Danio rerio: one gene and its partners. The protein of the gene in region 3 purifies or fractionates together with the protein of the main gene of each other region. This does not show direct contact. Links are inferred from orthologs where the notes say so. Each region holds a gene or a part of one and is shown on either strand. Other genes may lie near its edges.

What was found.
Region 1: the proteins of tmem192 (region 3) and ctsd purify together in Homo sapiens (affinity purification with western blotting; 3 studies listed by BioGRID, with this or other methods). This does not show direct contact. The link is inferred for Danio rerio from reciprocal best matches to the Homo sapiens genes TMEM192 and CTSD.
Region 2: the proteins of tmem192 (region 3) and acp2 purify together in Homo sapiens (affinity purification with mass spectrometry; 3 studies listed by BioGRID and IntAct, with this or other methods). This does not show direct contact. The link is inferred for Danio rerio from reciprocal best matches to the Homo sapiens genes TMEM192 and ACP2.

Annotation. Positions count from the first base shown.
Region 1 is NC_133193.1:17,515,601-17,521,814, forward strand, and holds part of ctsd (cathepsin D precursor), read left to right. Parts: intron 1-749; coding exon 750-906; intron 907-3,003; coding exon 3,004-3,127; intron 3,128-5,002; coding exon 5,003-5,121; intron 5,122-5,200; coding exon 5,201-5,400; intron 5,401-5,511; coding exon 5,512-5,634; intron 5,635-6,214. UniProt on the Homo sapiens protein: Acid protease active in intracellular protein breakdown. Plays a role in APP processing following cleavage and activation by ADAM30 which leads to APP degradation.
Region 2 is NC_133182.1:39,575,001-39,581,651, forward strand, and holds the start of acp2 (lysosomal acid phosphatase precursor), read left to right. Parts: upstream 1-2,822; 5' UTR 2,823-2,933; coding exon 2,934-3,017; intron 3,018-6,119; coding exon 6,120-6,215; exon of another isoform or gene 6,216-6,320; intron 6,321-6,384; exon of another isoform or gene 6,385-6,651.
Region 3 is NC_133176.1:21,148,707-21,155,652, forward strand, and holds the start of tmem192 (transmembrane protein 192), read left to right. Parts: upstream 1-3,131; 5' UTR 3,132-3,223; coding exon of another isoform or gene 3,224-3,259; 5' UTR 3,260-3,361; coding exon 3,362-3,382; intron 3,383-3,823; coding exon 3,824-3,976; intron 3,977-5,681; coding exon 5,682-5,943; intron 5,944-6,946. Other genes in the region: polr1e (DNA-directed RNA polymerase I subunit RPA49), read right to left, coding at 1,038-1,123, 1,205-1,281, 1,395-1,498, 1,721-1,778.

The DNA of each region.
Region 1 (6,214 bases), on a different chromosome or scaffold from region 3:
TATGCTTGAGTGTAATGACGTTAGAGCGGGGCTCCATATTAAACAATAACAATATATATTTTGATACAAGTTGTTAATGCTTCCAGCTTTAAAAAGAGTATCCCAACAATGACTAAAGCCACAGAAATTAGAGGGTCCATTAAATGTTGGTTGAAAATTTGGTACATCATTAATATCAACACACTTTTGGATTCCCATTGTTGCACATTTCTTCTGTGTGATTGCTCTTAAATCAATATAAAGTAAAAAAGTCCAGAGGTTATCATTGCTATTGACATAAATTTTATCGTGATTCAATATAGTATTGTTGATCGGCCCAGCCCTAAATGACGTTAAAAGTTTCCCAAGAAATACTCCAATAAAGTTTTAAAAAGGCTTTTTTCTTAAGTACCGTAATAAAGCAAAATATCTATAACTGTTCACCATGGGATTTTAAATAATGGCGGAAGAACTTTTTATTTTTACTTTAGAGTTTAATGTCTTGACCCACATACTGAGGTTTAGTTTGACTCACCGCCCTTTCAAAGTTCATAACACAACAGCTTTTACTACATCTTGCCATAAATGTGGTAGTAAATCAAGCCTGACGAACAAAATCTAATTTGAGTTCATGATGATATGTGAATTGTGTAAAATGGACCCTAGACATGCTTGTTTTTAGCATCAGAATGTTGTCATTTGCAGCAGGGGCTGTAGATATGACTAAAAGAAAACCGTGAAAGCTAATGTTTCTGTGTGTTTCTCTTCAGGATACCACTAAAGAAGTTTCGAACCCTCAGACGAACACTAAGTGACTCTGGCAGATCATTAGAGGAGCTTGTGTCTAGTTCTAATTCCCTGAAATACAACCTGGGCTTCCCAGCTAGTAATGATCCTACTCCAGAAACACTCAAAAACTACCTAGATGTGAGTATCTGCTTGCTGACATCATGTCTTGTGTGGGTGGATTGGGGTTTTTGTGCATTTTCATGCTCACATTTGTTTTTAATAATTAGTTAATTCCAGAATGAAAGTTTCCTGATTATTTATTTACTCAGCCTTTTGTCATCCAAGAAGTTAATTAAATTTCTTCAGTCAAAATTTTTTTTATTTGTTTATTTATTGCTTTATTTATTATTGTTTGTTTATTATTGTTTATAATTTATTTATTATTTTCTATTATTATTTATTTATATATTTAAAGAAAATTAGAGACAGATTGTCTCTAATTTGAGCACGGCATTATGGTAAATCAGTAAATTTGACGTCAGAGACAAATGAACGTCTGTGCACTTTTTATTAGCACAAAGTTATAGATTCAGGAAGTTGCAAGAATGAGGACAGTCAGTTATAGTTTAACACACAGTTGTTTTGCTCAGTCATGTCACATGATTATTAAGTGTCGACATGGTGGAACGTGATTTACGGTTGAGGGAGAAAAAAGTGAACCCGAAACCTATTCTGTCATCGGTATTCAGCCAAAAAATATTCTTGTCAGTTTCCTGTCATGTTCATAAAATGGATATCATGATAGTGTGTGGTGTGATTTGTTACAGTCATGAGGTTGTTTGTCAATGCCTTTGTCACAGGTTTCTATAACAATCCGATTTGGAAACAAGCAGCTGATATTATTACCAGTTGTAGTTTTGTAAACAGGCTTAGGTGGTTGAAGTTCTTAGTGGATAAAGATTACATTTGTTTTGCATGACGAATGGGTAATATATGTTATGTGCTATAATCATTTCTTTGTAAATGCTTTCCTGCTAAAAAGTCTTTCATAGGTCATCAGTATTCATCTCACACACACGCATAAAAACTTGAATACATGGTGTTCATGGACTTCATAACACCAGGAAAAATTTTAGAACTTTATCACGTTTTAACACTAGAAATCTTATTTAATTGATGTATTCATTAGTTTGTTGTTTTTAATTGTATATTTATTATTGAAATGTTCTTGCCATGAAAATAGCATTGGTTGTTGACATGGCATTAAATAAAAAATACATTACATCATGGACTCCATAGGCCTTATGTTTTTTTTTTTTTACAGATAAAGAACGCTTATCATATAGCCCTACCCTAAACCCAAAATCTTAAGTATTTTTTTTAGCGAACATTTAATTTTGAACGAAGCCCGAGATCCACTCAATAAAAAGTGAAGTAAAATAAAATAAAAACAGTAATACTGCAATATTAGGTACAAATCAGGTCTGATACAGTCTCATATTTAACCAAAACTGTACAGTTTTCTTACTGGCACCATTTATTTTGGCTGTGGTGTATTCCAAACTAATAATGTCCAGTAGATAGAGCCTCCAAGATAGGTTAAAGAATACCAGACATGAACAAACTGTCTATACTAGATCTTAAATTGGACATTCTTGGTTGACTCATTTTTATTTACTGAATAATGAAGCACCACCTGAATGTAGTTACTGCCTATGTGGAAGTTTGAATAGCATTAGACAACTTTTATATGGAGAGTACTTTAATGGACATTTTTAAAAAGGTACCACCAAGAAGAACCTTAACTTATTTATCAAAAATTTTACTGAAAAAATCATTTTTAACTTTGAATATATTTTTGTGTCATTTTTTTATTTCTACCGTATATATTTGTCTAAGTAACTTTTTATTGTAATTTAAATTTGTTTTTATCATGTAATATTTTTTATATCCATTTTGTCATGAAATAGCCTTAAGTTAAAAAACTTCTTTTGTGTTCAAACAGGTTTGTGACAGGTCAAGTGTGAATAAATGATGACAGAATTTCTGTTTTGGGTGAACTATCCCTAACTGTTGTGAAAAAAAATAATTGGAAATGTGTTGTGCTGTCTAAAAAAATAAATATAAACCTGTCTGAAAATTTGTTTCACAGCAAAACCAGTGTCACAAGCAAGATTTGCAGACACAAGTAGTTTTTTTAAGAATCTAGAAACTGTAAACCTTTGTGAAACACATTTTGTAGCCTGCAGTCTGTTGTGGTGGTGAATTTTAAATGAATTGGGTTTTTGTCTACAGGCTCAGTATTATGGCGAGATCGGTCTTGGCACTCCTGTCCAGACCTTCACTGTGGTGTTTGACACTGGATCCTCCAACCTGTGGGTACCTTCAGTCCACTGTTCCCTGACTGACATCGCCTGCTGTAAGTCCACACAGAGCCTGCCAGCTTTTTGCACAGTGCACTGTCAGGTCACTGATGTCTTTACATTATTCATTTAAAGTGAATTCTTTCAGAAACAAGAAGTTACTTTAGTTTGGCACAGTGTTGCTCAAGTTTGTCGGTGGCAACTTTTTTTTTTCATGGTTGCAAGTATGTTTCTGTAATCTTGTCATAGATCATATCAACTTTTCAACATAGCTGCTTGCGTTTACCTTTTGTAGCATAGATTTAGTGATAACTTTGCTTGATGTGAATGTTTGGGTGTTTCATAAGGCAAGTAAAATTGTGTTTTTTTTATCAAGTTCACTACTTTATGAATGTTCAACATTTAATTTAAAGACATTAGATGCTATAAGTTGTTTTTTTTTTTAATGCCACTTTTTTATGAATGAATTGTCATGAAATGTACGTGGTCTTCATATGTAATTGAAACATTCAATTATAACCATCAGTTTTAAAACTTCTTTTATTTTTTTAACCCTTTTTTTTTTTATGGAAGGCCAAAATACACACTGAGGGTGGTGGGCCAAACTAAATATACCAAACTGTATTGCAATCAAGTTGCAGTTGTAACTTCCTAATTTAATAGTATTAAATATATAAAAACAATAATTATATGTTTTTAGATTTTATATTGTACTACTTACAATAGTCATAAACAATTTAATTTATAACATAATGAATCTATATCTATCTAATTGTGTTTTGGCCGTTTTCTGACTTGTTAAAAATCTGATTAATTCACAGTTTTGCTTTTTTGTAGCTCAGCGATTAAACAAACACAAAATAGATGTAAAAATTAGAAATGTTTAAGGGATTTGCCCCAACCTTCCCCATTATTTCCCCATCTCTTCTCTAATTGGTTTGCGGGCCAAATCAAAGGTTACCATTGGCCAACTTTTGTCATCTCTGTTCTAAAGCCTTTTTTTTATATGTGGGTAAATGCCCTGATGTGTAAAATAAGAATATGTCTCTGTTCATTCCATGTAATATAGTACTATACCTTTTTTTTTTTTGCATGTTTATATAGCTGAAATTAATAACCAATAAAAATGCAACTTGAGGTCTGCATTCTCGACAACACCAGATTTCCTGCGGTGTGGGAATAAATTTCTGAATAAAACACGGTAGCAGTCCGTAACTCCGGTGTAATTTGACCGGGAGTAGGCAGGCTAACAATATAGTGTTCCTGAGTCCCGACGTTATTTCAGAATAGCATATCTGTGTTTTTTTTTTCTCATTCTTATTGAGCTCCAGTACAGCCAGTGCTCACGACTGTTACACATTGAACGCATGACCAGTGCTTTCTGCATGTGCTTTTTTTCCCACACAGTCTGTACATGCGTCATCTGCTTAACAGTTTTCAGAGTGGGATTTACCAACATTGGAGTGCAAAATGAAGATGCGCTGTCCTTCGGCTTGCCTTAGAAAATGGTCAGTTTACTGTTAGAACATTAGGCAAGTCTGATGTATGGGAGTCTTTTTCATGCGTCCTAGACACAAATGGAAAAAAAATGACTCTGCGTGATAATACCTCAAAATTTTACCATTAAGCAGTCACAAGACTGGAACCTCAGGTTTAAGGTGGCACTCATGTCTCATCACAAAGGGACAAACAAAACTAATATTTAGCTTACAAAGCCTATGGTTTTATCTGTTATCTCTCTCTTTTGGTAGTGCCCAATTTAAACATGAAGTTTTAAAAAACAGATCTAAATTTAGTGGGAATGGTCGGGAAGAAAATTATTCTAGGCGGGCAGCGGCTAAACAAAGGCTGAATGTACGGCTGGAGCAAGACAAAAAAAAAAAAACTATACATGACTGATTATATGCATATCTTTTATTTTAACCATGTAGTGCTTCATCACAAGTACAATGGGGGCAAATCAAGCACCTATGTGAAGAATGGGACTCAATTTGCCATCCAGTATGGATCAGGAAGTTTGTCCGGGTATCTCAGCCAGGACACCTGCACGGTAGGAATCAACAGTCACACAGTTTTTAACACTTGAAGTGTTGAAAGCAAGAAAAAGCAATCTGTTATGTCTCTTTTAGATTGGAGATATTGCAGTTGAAAAGCAGATATTTGGAGAAGCTATCAAGCAGCCAGGAGTGGCCTTCATTGCTGCCAAGTTTGACGGTATTCTCGGGATGGCCTATCCTCGCATCGCTGTCGATGGGGTTCCTCCTGTTTTCGACATGATGATGAGCCAGAAGAAAGTGGAGAAAAATGTTTTCTCTTTCTATCTTAACAGGTACCCTTCTTTATATATAGGGCATCCAGATGTACAAATGTCAGTCTATCGTAAGCATCCATTAAATGCAGTTGAAAGTCAGACCTGATGGTTGTTTTATTTGTCTGAAAGAAACCCTGACACTCAGCCTGGTGGTGAGCTGCTACTGGGAGGAACAGACCCCAAATATTACACTGGAGATTTCAACTATGTGGACATCAGCAGACAGGCCTATTGGCAGATTCACATGGATGGGTGAGAGAATTTTGAGACCTTGTGCTGAATAATGCAGTTGTCCTCTAGGGGTGTGTGTGATATTTATATTTCTCTTTAGTGTTGTAGCTGTAGTGTGTTAACTTTATCCAGTATGTCACCCACTTTGCAAAAAAATAAAAATAAAAAACACAAAAATAACAAATCTTCAAAAAGCATTTACAGCATAAAGCTAGTTAAAATGACCTGTCATTTAAATTTTGATATTATTGAACTAATAATGATTATTTCTATAATGTTTGATAGGTAAGTAATATCACACAAACAAGAGTTCTGATTTCCTGAATGTCAACACATGAGCGTGACTTTAAATGTGATGTTGCTTTAAATTCAAGTTAATAAAGTCATAGGGTTTTTGACAAGACACCAAACCCACTAGATTTAAATAAACAGGACATATCGTAATTCTTTCTCTAACAATTCTGAATCTCAAAGGTCAGAATCGATAATGTGCTGACCTGCACAGGCACGAACAAATGACAGAAAAATAATAACAGGGTTTGCATGGTCTTAAAATGTCTTAAATTCACTGAAATATCCTCTTGTACGTCTTAAATCATTT
Region 2 (6,651 bases), on a different chromosome or scaffold from region 3:
TTGTTTTAAACATTTATGAGCTTTCTTTTTTTTAAATAAAGACAAAAATAATATAACCTAATAACTCATATAGTATTGAAACAATTGAAGTGTGAGTAAATAGTAAGTACATTTTAATCTTTGAGTAAACTGTCCCTTTAAGACCTGTGACTGTTAAACATTTCAATATTTCAATTTTTTAAAAATCGGGCCAAAAGAAATTTTTTGGTAACTAAATTAAAGATTAAATAATATAGAACGAAGACTATGCAGTGTTAATTATTCAATATCTGTACCGAAATAGTGAATACCTGAAAACTATAATTCACTTTTATCTTGACTATGTTTTATTTATCTATGCTTGTAATTTATTTGTTATATATTATTCGGGATTCACTCTCTAACAACCCCCCCCCCCCCCCCCCCCCCCACCCCAATCAATCAAAAATAAAACTTTTAAATCATCTGGTGAAATTATATTCTCGTCGCAACATATCACAGAAATACAAAATATTGTAATGTCAGATTGTTCCAATATCGCGCAGCCCTAATTTAAGTATACTGATATTTGTTAAACTAATCTTCATAACTTTTCCAAGCCTGGAAAATGCCATGTCAAAATTCCATGACTTTTCCAGGTTTTCCATGACTGTATAAACCCTGTCTTATGATGAATTAGTCAACTATGGAGGACGCAAAAACAATAAATAAATACGCAAATAAATGAGTAAATAAATCCATAAATTCATGCATAAATAAAACAATAAATAAGCAAAAAAAATGTGTATATATATAAACTTTCTGCATAAATAAATGTATAAATAATTAATAGAGCAGTCAATCATCAGAAGCCAGTAAAAAAAAATTATAGTTTTTTTTTTTTTTAATGAAAAGCAAATGTTTTCTAACGATCAACCAATAATGGCATGAAGACCACTTTCTGATGATTGACAGAACCAGTCTCATTAGCATGTTTACTGAGGAAAGGTAAATACATAACTACAATCAAGAATGAATAAACATTTGGGAGGGGGCGGGGGGTGGAGCTTTCAGTTTACCATTTTCTTATTCCCGTAACATTCGTGTAATTTATTAAATTTTGTACCTGCCTGATTGAGTTATGCAGGAATTTGTGGATTTTTATATACATTTACTCGTTTATTATATATTTGTGTATTTATTTATTAATTTATAGATTTAAAAAAAATAAAGGTTTCATCTTTCATAGCCAACACCTTGACAGAGAAAAAAATCATTAATTAAACATAAATTAAACAAAAAGTTTACTTTTTCTTTCATAAGGTTTTCCACACAGGCTTTAAGTCAACTTAAAGTATGTCAAGTTAACTATGGTAATTTATTTTTTGTTATTTTTTAGCTATGCAAAAGTAACATTGAATACATTTGAAATTTACTTTTAATTCTAGTTAATGAACACTGTGTATTTTTCTTCAAACAACATAATACTGAACACAATCATACTTTTAAAGTGTATGCTTTACTTAAAAAATTGAAATAGTAACAACATTAAAAGATATTCACACAACAATCTAACTGAACAGAGACCTCAATACCTAATACACAATACACAATGACGAGTCTAACTACAATAAAAGCTAACCATATTTCCATTTCAGTTCTACTAATAAAGAATTAAGCAGTAAATAAAAATTAATAAATTAAAAAATAAAACAAACAAAAACTATTACATGGGTAAACAATGCATAGTTTAACTATCAAAAATGCAAAGACTACTATAAATACGTAGTTATTATTTACAGGAATGCAATTACCAAAATAACAGGGTTAAAACACGTGGAAAAGCTTTACACGTTTTGTGACACTATAGCACGTCAGGTCAAAGATAGCTCATGTTTGACTCCAGCTAACGTTAGACATATATAAGTTAAGTTTAACCTGCAATAAAAGGAGTGTCACTCATTACAGTAAATTCATTGTCACAGAATAAAGCAACTAGTGAAGGTTATAACGTTAACGTTAAATTACAATAATTACTTTTTAATAAAGAAATTAACTTTACAGCTTTAACATTTAGCAGTTAGCAAGCTAATTTACATGCGAGGCAAAGTATCAATCCACACAATTACATAGTGTTTAAATTAGGAGTCTTTTGTTCAGTATAAATTTAAAACAACACCTCTCATGGTCTCAGGTTCGGCCTACCTTTTCCTCTTATTTTTGTCCGATTTTAATCCATGAAATTGTAGATATGTAGTAGCGGAAGTACGTTAGGTGAAACTTTAGCAATATTTCAGATTTTCTTTAAGGAATATTTTTGTAATGTTTTTATTTTCCCCCAAAAGTGGGTCGTGTGTACTTTAGATTTGTTGCTGTGTGTGTCCTGCCAAAACGAGTCCAGACAAAGCCAGTAGAGCACAGATCCTTCATAATCAATTACCGAAAACATCGTTCATGAGCCAGCCAATCAGGTTGATCTGTCAAAAAAAAAAACACAGATGAACCAGTCAAGATGAAATCTTGTGCTAAACAGCCAAGTTATATTTACATTCACATTCCGTTGTCCTATATTTATATTTGATCATGGGCAGTTAAGTGATCAAATAATTTTTATTCACATATTCAGTCTTGCTAAATGTTAGATTACACATAAACTAAGTCAAACATATATACCAATTGAATAACAAAAGAGGGGATTTTCATTCAGAATTTTTTTTTCAAATGACGGAGAAGTCATGCACCTTAAACAAAGAGAAAACAATCAACTATTGTTTGCTGTTTTGCTCCAAGTCCTTCTCCGTTCGTGAGAGCCAATCACTGCTCGTGTTTTTGAAGCTGCTGAACACATTGACCAATGGCAGCTCTCCGTTACCCGGAAAAGCTTGCAGCTCGTCTTGTGTTTATCAGCCACGACAGCCAGGCAACGATCTTTCAATGAGGTTACTGTACTGTGCCTCATCCGCTCGTCCGCAAGTATGGATTCCTGTTTTGTGATTGTTGCCTTTCTCTTTGCTTTCAGTCTTTCCAGTGGAGAGAGGACGCTAAAGTTTGTCACTGTGGTGAGTTTAATAATACATCTGTCCTTTAAAAAAACAAACGTTAAGTATGTAACAGACAGTAACTGAATAACCGGGGCCTGAAGCTATTTACAAAACCTTTCGTTTTAAAAACATTGACAACGCGAAGTCTCAGTCAGACCTTTTATTATGTGCCTCGTGTGTTTCTTTAGGGGTGTCATATTTCTGTTATTCAGCTGTGTGCCTTTCTGTAATTACCTGTTAGTTGATGTCTAAATTCGTGTTTCTCTCTCGAATGTTTTGCTTTCTACAGATTTTCGCATTTTCTGTAATTTCGGTAAAATGTAGTTTTCGACTTGATCTTTATTAATTCCTCATTAAAGTACAGATTGAGCAATCTGAAGAGCAGACCGTCACATGACATGTTGTTTTGCTTCATTTCACCTCCCATTTTCGTCAAAGCAATAAAACACCTTTGTAGGTTAAATGTCACCTATTTTTTTTAGTAAGGGTAACATTATTGCTTGGCTTTTAGGTGAGAAAGATCTCTGAAATTAGTAATGCAACTGCAAGCCTATTACAGAATGTCTGTCATATGAACGAATTGGTAAACCAAGGGCTAACTTGTACTGAATCCATTTGTAACGTTAATGGATAAAGATAGAAAAAGTGTCTGCAAGGTAATTTATGGAGCAATTCCATGCAAATGTCAACCATGTTTCACGAAAATAGCGAAACCCTTTCTAGATTTTTTATTTTTTATTTTTTTGCTTAGGCTTGTATTTTACTGTACTCTAAAAATACTCAAAAACGTATCTGTCAGTGTTTTCAAGCCATTCTATTTGATTACCAAAGTCACAAATGTGTCAATTTCACATCTGTCACATCCATAACAGAGAGGTGTCGCATCCATAATGGAGCTTTTTCCTCAAAATGCAAAAATGTTAAATAAAATACAGCCAATCTTTTCTGTTCTATAGTGAGCCAACTCTCATTTTATTGATTATCATTGTTTCTTTGGGGTTGTGCAGTTTGAGTCACAGAATTTCTACAAAATATGTTGAATACTGTAAACTCGCAGACTTTTTGGTCACATCCATAACACATGTTTATTTTTACTCATTTAAAATATAACACATGTTAGCAGATTATTATTTTTTCTGATCCCATAACTCTGTGGTGAGTTACTTTGGAAAATATAAACCGATGTTTCAATATAATCTTAACATATACTTTCTGTGCATTTATGTTTTAGGTTTTTACTGAAAATGTCACATCCATAACAATTTAATAATTTACAATTCAAGTTTTTAATGAAATTTTCCTTAGTTTTTAAATTTAAAATAAAGTTACTTTGATATGATTTTTGCTGTTCTCAAAGAAACAGCAAGCAACAAATTGAATTAAATGAGGAATTATTAAAGTAGAAATACTAAACTATTTTCATGTGAAACTTACTTCAATGAACATTTAAATCTCTTTCACCTTTATCTCTCAGTCCATTCTCAGCACGTTATATAGCACAATATGCACGATATTGGAAAAATCAAAAAATTTTTTAGTGTGCAATATATATTGTGTTATGAATTCGATTTCGGCCACGCAGTGGCGCAGTAGGTAGCGCTGTTGCCTCATAGCAAGAAGGTCGCTGGATCGCTGATTCGAGCCTCGGTCAGTTGGTGTTTCTGTGAGGAGTTTGCATGTTCTCTTTGCGTTTGTGTGGGTTTCCTCCGGGTGCTCCGGTTTTCCCTACAGTCCAAAGACATGCAGTTCAGGTGAATTGGGTAGGCTAAATTGTCGGGTGTGTGTGTGTGTGTGTGTGTGTGTGTGTGTGTGTGTGTGTGATTGTGTGTATGTGTGTGTGTGTGTGTGTGTGTGTGTGTGTGTGTGTGTGTGTGTGTGTGCGCGCGTGCGTGCGTGTGTGTGTGTGTGGATGTTTCCCAGAGATGGGTTGCAGCTAAAAGGGCATCCGCTACATAAAAAATGTGCTGGATAAGTTGGTGGTTCATTCCGCTGTGGCGACCCCGGATTAATAAAGGGACTAAGCCGACAAGAAAATGATTGAATGAAAACGATTTCATCATAACTTTTTAGTAAGATTTTATCATTTTAGATTGATTGGTATGATTCTGTAGGGGAGTGCATTTGCCTAAAATATAACAAACAATCTATAAGCATACATGAATTTATTTAAGAAAAAGATACCAATTAAATAAACAGCTTTTATTGTTTTCCGAGAAGTCAAACAGTATTCAGGTATACAGTAATTGAATAATCAAATGTAAAAAATACTGGGTAGTCTTTGTTTTATAAACAATTAAAAAAAAAAATCATTATTGATTTTTCGAAGTTACAAATGGTACAATTTCTTATGCCCGAATGCTTTTAAAATCCTCACACAGTCACAAGCCTCAAAAACACTTTTATAATGATCAATTATAATCCAAACTCAGCATTGTGTATACTCGCAATGTCATTATTGTGAATGATCACATTGCCCCATTGCTTTTGAAGCAATATATTCTGCAGCCCTAATTTAAATATATGTTAATTAATCTTGTTTGTTTTAATAATTCCATGTGTTTAATCTACTTTTGTTGTTATACTGTTGTATTTGAGATGTGAATGTTTTACCTGTATATTGTTGTAATTAGTTTCTCATATTCCTGCTTTACCAGACAAAAACCTCAACTGTCCTTTCATTTTGAGTATAGTCATGTTAGATACTGAAACTTGGCTACTGTTTAATAGTGTTTCATTTAAAGTGTGTTCTGGTTAATCACGATTCCTTGCAAATGAGGAAGTTTAAACCAGAGCTTGTCATTTTAAGCACGATTGAATAACATGGTTATAAATGAAAGTGTTCACTGTAAACCTTCATGAGACTGATAATGCAGTAACCGTCTCTCAGAGCTGAAACTTTCTAAACGTGGCTGGTTTCTGTGAAGCCCAGAGATGAAGATAAGGAGATAGACTGAATCTGTTTATCCAATTAGAATGTGTTTACAGACTTCTGTGGCTTGTGTCCGGGTGTCAGCATGAGCACATGACAAGCTCAGTTTGCTGATCTAGCCACTGTTGCACAGTGTAGTTCATTATCCTGAACACACACACTCATGAAGAATTTGACTTCCTCTCCCTCAGCTCTACCGACATGGTGACAGATCTCCGATTAAGGCCTATCCAAATGATCCATACAAGGAGAGTGACTGGCCTCAGGGTTTTGGACAGCTCTCTCAGGTATACACAAACACACATTCCATACCCTCTTTGTTTTTGTTTCATGCTTTTGGGGGAGTATTATGCAGAATTTATCAGATGTATGCATGATGCATATTCATAAATGTTTCATCTGTGCAAATGTTTTCTTTTTCTTCCATTTTTGACCTCTTGGTGCGCAATTAAAAAGGCCACTTTGTGCCTGATCAAAATAATGTGAATAAGTGTAGTTTCACAAACTAATTTCGCTAGGAGCAGTGATATGATTGACTGCAGCTGGCCTCCCATCTACATTCATTAGTTAGCCAATCAGATTAATTCAAAATATCAGTAGCCTAGCTAGAACTACTCCCTTATCTTCGTTTTCCAAAGAAATCCCCCATCCACCCATTCTCCTCCTTTCCTCCTTTACCATGGGGAGCTCTCGAGAACAAGCTGATCTCGTACTCCCCTCACA
Region 3 (6,946 bases):
TTTTAAAATGAACAACCAATTTCTGTGGTAAAGTAATTGTCCTGTTCGTCATTCTACAATGCTGCTGAGGAATAGATGATGTTTGCAGCACAGATAATGATGCATTTCGCATTTGATAGTGGCACAAATCTGAACTATAAAGATGAGATTCCATGCAGTTTGGTCATTACTTGAGCCACATGTAAGCAAAAAAATCTGATCTGGGCCACATTTGGCTGCAGTGTGAACATAGCCCAAAACATTACTGTTGAATTGGAAAAGAAAATAGTGGAGCATTATATAGTATAAAGTGTGTTTTTCAGAGTACCCCCTCCATATATCTGCTATGGGTTTTATATATATATATATATATATATATATATATATATATATATATATATATATATATATATATATATACCATTTCAATATGATATCACTGGCCAATGAACATGTCCTGTCAAACTATTTCATAACTGTAACAAGAGGCATTTCAATGAAATCCCATCTTAACGTTAAAAACAGCTGTCATAACATTATCAATAGGTGGACCTTTTAGAAACTATGGAAACAAAAAATGTAAAACAGGAAATACATTTAAACCATAGTTATTGTTTACATCTCTCAAAAAAGTCTATACTGCATGTCTGTGAATATACTGGCAGCAGCAAGTCACAGAACTTGTTCCGCCATAGCAATCAAAGCAGCAGCTGCGTAGCAGATCTATGCCGCCAAGACCAAATACATCAACAATGCCAAATACATATATATTACCATACTAAACCTCTCAGAGCGCTGTCATGACAAAAATATTTGAATAGTATAAATATTCATGTTCACTATAAATGATAACCATTAACGATTATTACACAATATAATAATGTATGAGATATTATACTAACAGCACTCAGTAACATGGTAATACAAATAATATTACTAACGTTACAGACTTAGAGGCATGCAAACAATTTCACCCCCAAAAACGAGTAAAAGTTCCTTTGAACTCTAAGAACCCTAAACATTTATGTCCATAATATTTCAGATGTAAAACTGTTTACCTGGTATGACGGGCAGCATATTGAACAGCTGAGCACTATGAACTTTCATTTGCATAGTCTGCTTGTCAAGAACTCCCACAAAATACCTGTTGACAACATTTACACACCATTATTGAGAGGTTATTTAAGTGTTGCTCAGCAAATAAATAACAACGTGATGACCTCACTTGCACATATTATTAGACTGCAGCGATCCAGACCCAAAATTGCTCCCTACATAGGGAAGCCTATCTGAATCTGCAACCTGCATAGAAAAGATAAAGTTAGTTCCTAAAAGCACAAACAACACAATTGCTTCAATTTAGACTTTTTAAAGTTATAAAACAAACGCAGTTTCAGTAGGTATAAGTGTTTTACCACTATTCGTCTGTTTTTCTTTCTGGGATTTGATGCATTTGAGTGTTTGAAGACAGTAAAGTCCAGCTCCTCGGCATTTTTCACATTTCCATTAGAGAACTTAACTGTAATGACAAGAATAATGCTTTAAAATACAATGCGTGACAGTTTTAAAAACTATACTGTTAGACTGAGTGTACATTGTTTATTATTTGGTCGAGATGACCATATCCACGTGGGTGCGTTAAATACATAGAGGAAGAATAAGATTAGTTTATTACAGCTAACAAATAACAGCAATTATATATTATGTTACATTTATGATACTCTGGGTATTAAAACATTACCAATAAAAGTATTCTGTTCCGTTTCTTCACATGTTTTCCACGAACAGGTCGCCGCCATTATTACGGTTTCCTCGGCTGATATTAGCACGCGTTCCTGCACGAACAGCGACACCAATCGGTTTAAACAGTTTAAACAGAAACTTCCATTCAATTGTTCTGATATGATATTAATTGAATTTGCACAACTATTTTTAAAATTGAATAAATATGGATTAAAAGCCTTTCAAAATGTATTGTAAAAGCTTTTGAAAGTAGTCTATTTTGTTCTCCAAGGCTGAATTTGGTCTAAAATGCAAAATAAATGACAAAATAAATAAATAAAGGCCTAAACTGATGTTTAAACTGAAATAAATAAAAATAAAGTGAAGGAAATTTATTTTAAACTGATGATGGCAAATAAGTATTCTTAATTCTACAAGCTTTTTATATTGAATTTCATGTTAGGACTGAGCAATAAAACTATAATATTCATACACTAGTTTAGATTATGTCCAGAATAAGGTTTATGCTTGTAGACATGACTAAGTAATGCTGATTATTTACACCACACAGACAGTTTGTGCCCAACAGCACAAGTTTCTATGATTTATTTTACAATCAGATCAGACAGCACTGACATTCAATTTTATTAATGCAATGTCTGAGGCTCCTTCACCATGTTTTGCAGAGGGATCCTAAAAATAATCAACTCTGGTGTTTCTCAAATTTCTCTGAAACTACAGTTTCAACATAAAGATTTTAACATTTTATTGTAACTGCACTGTAAAACCCAATCATTTTGATAAACCCAATAAACCCAAAAAACTCTTTTGTGGCAAACCATTAAAGTTTTTAAACAAAATGTTGAGAGTACATTTTCTATTCGACTCAGTCCCTTTTTTAATCTGAGGTCAACACAGCAGAATGAACCGCCAACTTATCCAGCATATGTTTTACGCAGCAGATCCCCTTCCCGCTGCAACCCATCTCTAGGTCTCTCTCATACACTATGGACAATTTAGCCTACCCAATTCACCTGTACCGCATGTCTTAGGACTGTGGGGAAAACCACACGAACACAGGGAGAACATGCAAACTCCACACAGAAACGCCAACTAACCCAGCTGAGGCTCGAACCAGTACCCTTCTTGCTGTGAGGCGACAGCACTACCTACTGCGCCACTGCATCACGTCCGACAAATAAATATAGTTTATTTAAACCAAGACAAATCTATTTTCTAGCGTTTTGGAAAAGAAAAGAAGGCAGGAAATACACATGACAGCTTTGTAACATAATATTCATGAGGCACGCTTCCGTGACCGCCTACTAAATCTAACTCTGACCCAATCACGCAATACTAAAGTAAGATTGACATGTGACGTAATTAATATTCATGAGTGAAGCATTTCTTCTACCAGGATTGGTAACGTTAGTATCGCCACCCGGAAGTTCAATTTCGAAATGTTTCTTAGAGCATTTTCACGAAAAATTTGATTTTTGGGCTTAATATGTTATGACCGGCCATGGTAATGGAGTCTGGGCGCACATCGGCATACGGCGTGCGTATAAATATTCTGTTTGTTCATTCTGATGTGTTTCTATGTGTAGCAAAAAACGTGTAACGTCAGGAAAATAGTCACGAGTACAGCTATATTTATCTTATGACAGACAATAGCGTTGAGGTGAATGATTTATTCCTTTATTTACCTGTATGCTTGTGCTGCTACGGTGTTTGTTGCTCTTTATATTTTTGTGCGCGTATGTTGTTGGCTAGTTTTAGAAAAAATACTCTAACTTATGTGCTTTATTATCAGTTAAATCTTCTTTTAGTGGCTCTGGTCTATTTGTAATTAGGCTGCTGTCCGAGTAACGGTAACCAAGTGTTCCGATAATGGCGCAATTGACCAGATCGTTTAGCCAGTGACATTAGTCTTTTACAAATTTCTTGTGGAATAGAAAGCCATTGTTGGGCTGTAATAGAGTTTGTGCATTAGCACTTTGAAATGTATAGCTTCAAAGTAACATTTGATGCCCGTTAAGTAGCTTTCAGCTATTTGTTGTAGTTGCTTTGACTATTACAATGCCCATTTTAAACTAATCTTTGTCTTGTTTTTGTGGCTTAGAATAACACCAATGTAGATTTTACACAAAGCACTGATGATGACCCTCTCATTGATGGACCACTCGTATCCCAAGATGCACTTGAGTCGGCAATCAAGAGAGAGTTTCAGACATTAAGCACTCACTGGGCAGTGGGTGTCCTTTCATTTTTACACGTAAGTGTAGAACCAAGAAATTGCACAAGTATACAGTACTGGTTACAAGTTTGGAAACATTAAGATTGGTTAATGTCTTTAAAAGTAGTTAATGCTTATCAAAATGTATTTTAAATCATTGAAATATTTAAAAAATGTGTTATGCTGTTACATAAGTATTATATAGTTTTTGAAACATCTGTGTGTTAATGTAAAATGTAGTTTATTCCTGTAGTTAAAGCAACATTTTTAGCAGTAATTCTAGTTTTCAGGGTCACATGATCTTTCAGAAAACATAATTTTTTCTCCAGAAAAATGTATTAATTTTTTGCAGCTTTTTCCCTTTATTAATCTGGGGTTGCCACAGCAGAATGAACTGACAGCTTATCCAGCATATGTTTTATGCAGCGGATGCCCTTCCAGCTGCAACCCATCACTGGGAAACACCGACACACTCTCTTACACACATACACCACAGACAATTTAGCTTACCCAAATCACCTATAGCGCATGTCTTTGGACTGGGGGAGAAACCGGAGCACCCGGAGAAACCCACGCCAACAAGAGGAGAACATGCAAACTCCACACAGAAATGCCAACTGACTTAGCTGAGGCTTAAACCAGCAACCCTCTTACAGTTAGGCGATGGTGCTACCCATTGCGCCACTGCGCCGCCTCCAGAAACATTTCTGATTATTATTGCTGCTTAATATTTATTTAGATCTGTGATGTGTAACCATCGGGATTTTTTAAATCAACGACCAAATAAATTGTTTAAAGATGGCTTTAAAACAATTATAATCTTACAAAAGCTTTACTTTTAAATAAATCCTGTTATTTTGAAGTTTATATTAATCAAAAAATCCTGAAAAGTAATTTGTCGCACAAAAAATACCATGCAGATGTTTTTATGGAAACTGTGATGAAACTGAAAAGTACCAGTAATAAATAATTAAAATAGTGCAGCACATCAACATATAGTAATATATTATTATAGATATTATAAAAATTGTAAATACATAAATATTTCGGCACTAAAAGCTCGAGTAATGTGGCTAGAAATTTAGCTTTAAATAATAAGAATACATATTTTTTAATTCCCATTTTAATTTATTAACACAGAGAAACATTTTATTTTTAAATTGTAAAAATATTGCACCATTCAATAACTTTCTTTTCAGCTTTTCCGAAAATTAATCAGTCTCTTTATTAATCAGGGGTCACCACAGCAGTATGAATCACTAACATATCCAGGATATGTTTAACACAGCAGATGCCCTTTTAGCTGCAACCCAGTACTGGGAAACATCCATACACACTCATACACTATGGCCAATTTAGTGTATTCAATTCGCCTATACCGCATGTCTTTGACAGACCCATGCGAACACGAGGAGAACATGCAAACTCCACACAGAAATGCTAACTAGCCCAGCCGGGGGTCAAACCAGCTGGCTGTGATACGACAGCACTGCACCACAATGCGGCCCAATATTTCATCAATATTTGATTTAACTAAGTGCAGGTTGGTGAGCAGGAGAGCTTTGAAAACCAAAAAAATCCAATTTTTAATATTTAATATACACTATTATACTAAGAGTATAAATATGTTTTACTCCCCTTTGTGTTCCAGAGATGACATATTTTTATTTCTGTGCATCCTGACAGTATTTTTAAAGAACACCTTGTTAAATGTGTTTCTGTCATTTCTCTGTTTCTTCTACAGGTGGTTTATGTGGTGGTGTGTATCGTAATTACAGTATTTTGCTGGATATCTGATGAACACACATCTGAGTGCACTGCAGCATTAAATGGGATAGACTCCAAAACCGTGGTGTTACTGGGAAAAGTTGCTCTCTGGGTGGTCGTCTTTATATACGATCGTGTTGTCCAGCGTCGCCACAGCGCAGTGAGACGGAAAGGTTATCTGGACTTTTACAGGATGACCAAAGGAATTAAAAGCCTTCCTCTACTCATTCACTCTGCAGGTGAAACATAATTTCTTCTCTTTATCTGTCACTTTAGAAACTGAATTAATCTCTGTGGATCACATGAGGTGATTGAAGTATGCTGTCAATTTTCCGTGTAGCACTGTAATGTTTTACAACTCGCAATCACCTCACAACAAGAAGGTCACTGGTTCGAGCCTCGGCTGGGTCAGTTTACATTTCTGTGTGGAGTTTGCATGTTCTCCTATTGTTCACGTGGGTTTCCTTCACGTGGTCTGGTTTCCCCCACAAGTCCAAAGACATGCGCTAAAGGTGAATTGGGTAAGCTAAATTGTCTAGTGCAGGGGTCACCAATCTCGGTCCTGAAGGGCCGGTGTCCCTGCAGGTTTTAGCTCCAACTTGCCTCAACACACCTGCCTTGGTGTTTCAAGTATACCTTGTAAAACCTTAATTAGCTTGTTCAGGTGTTTTTGATTAGGGTTGGAGCTAATATCTGCAGGACACCGGCCCTCCAGGAACAAGTTTGGTGACCACTGGTCTAGTGTATGTGTGTGAATGAGTGTGTATGGATGTTTCCCAGTGATGGGTTGCAGCTGGAAGGGCATCCGCTGCGTAAAACATGCTGGATAAGTTGGCAGTTCATTCCGCTTTGGCGACCTCAGATTAATAAAGGGACTGAGCCGAAAAGAAAATGAATGAATGAATGAATGTTTTACAACTGACCGCTAGATGGCAGTGCTTAAGCTATCATTAGGACTGTAAATAAGCTGTGGAAAAAATTGAGACCAGTTGAAAAAGTGTCGGTTTTTCTGGAATTGCTTGATTTACTTGGTATTATTGGATTAAAATATTGATATTTGTTTTATTCTCTGAAGCTCTGATAACATTTCTTCCATTTGTATAGAACCAATTTATAATAAAGTATAATACTGAGATTTGAGGCAACTTTTGTTTAGAGAAACTGAGAATTTTCAAGTTGTTTAAGTTTTTTTTAACGCTTGTGTACACCAAATATGGAATTTATCAATTGATAATGAACCAT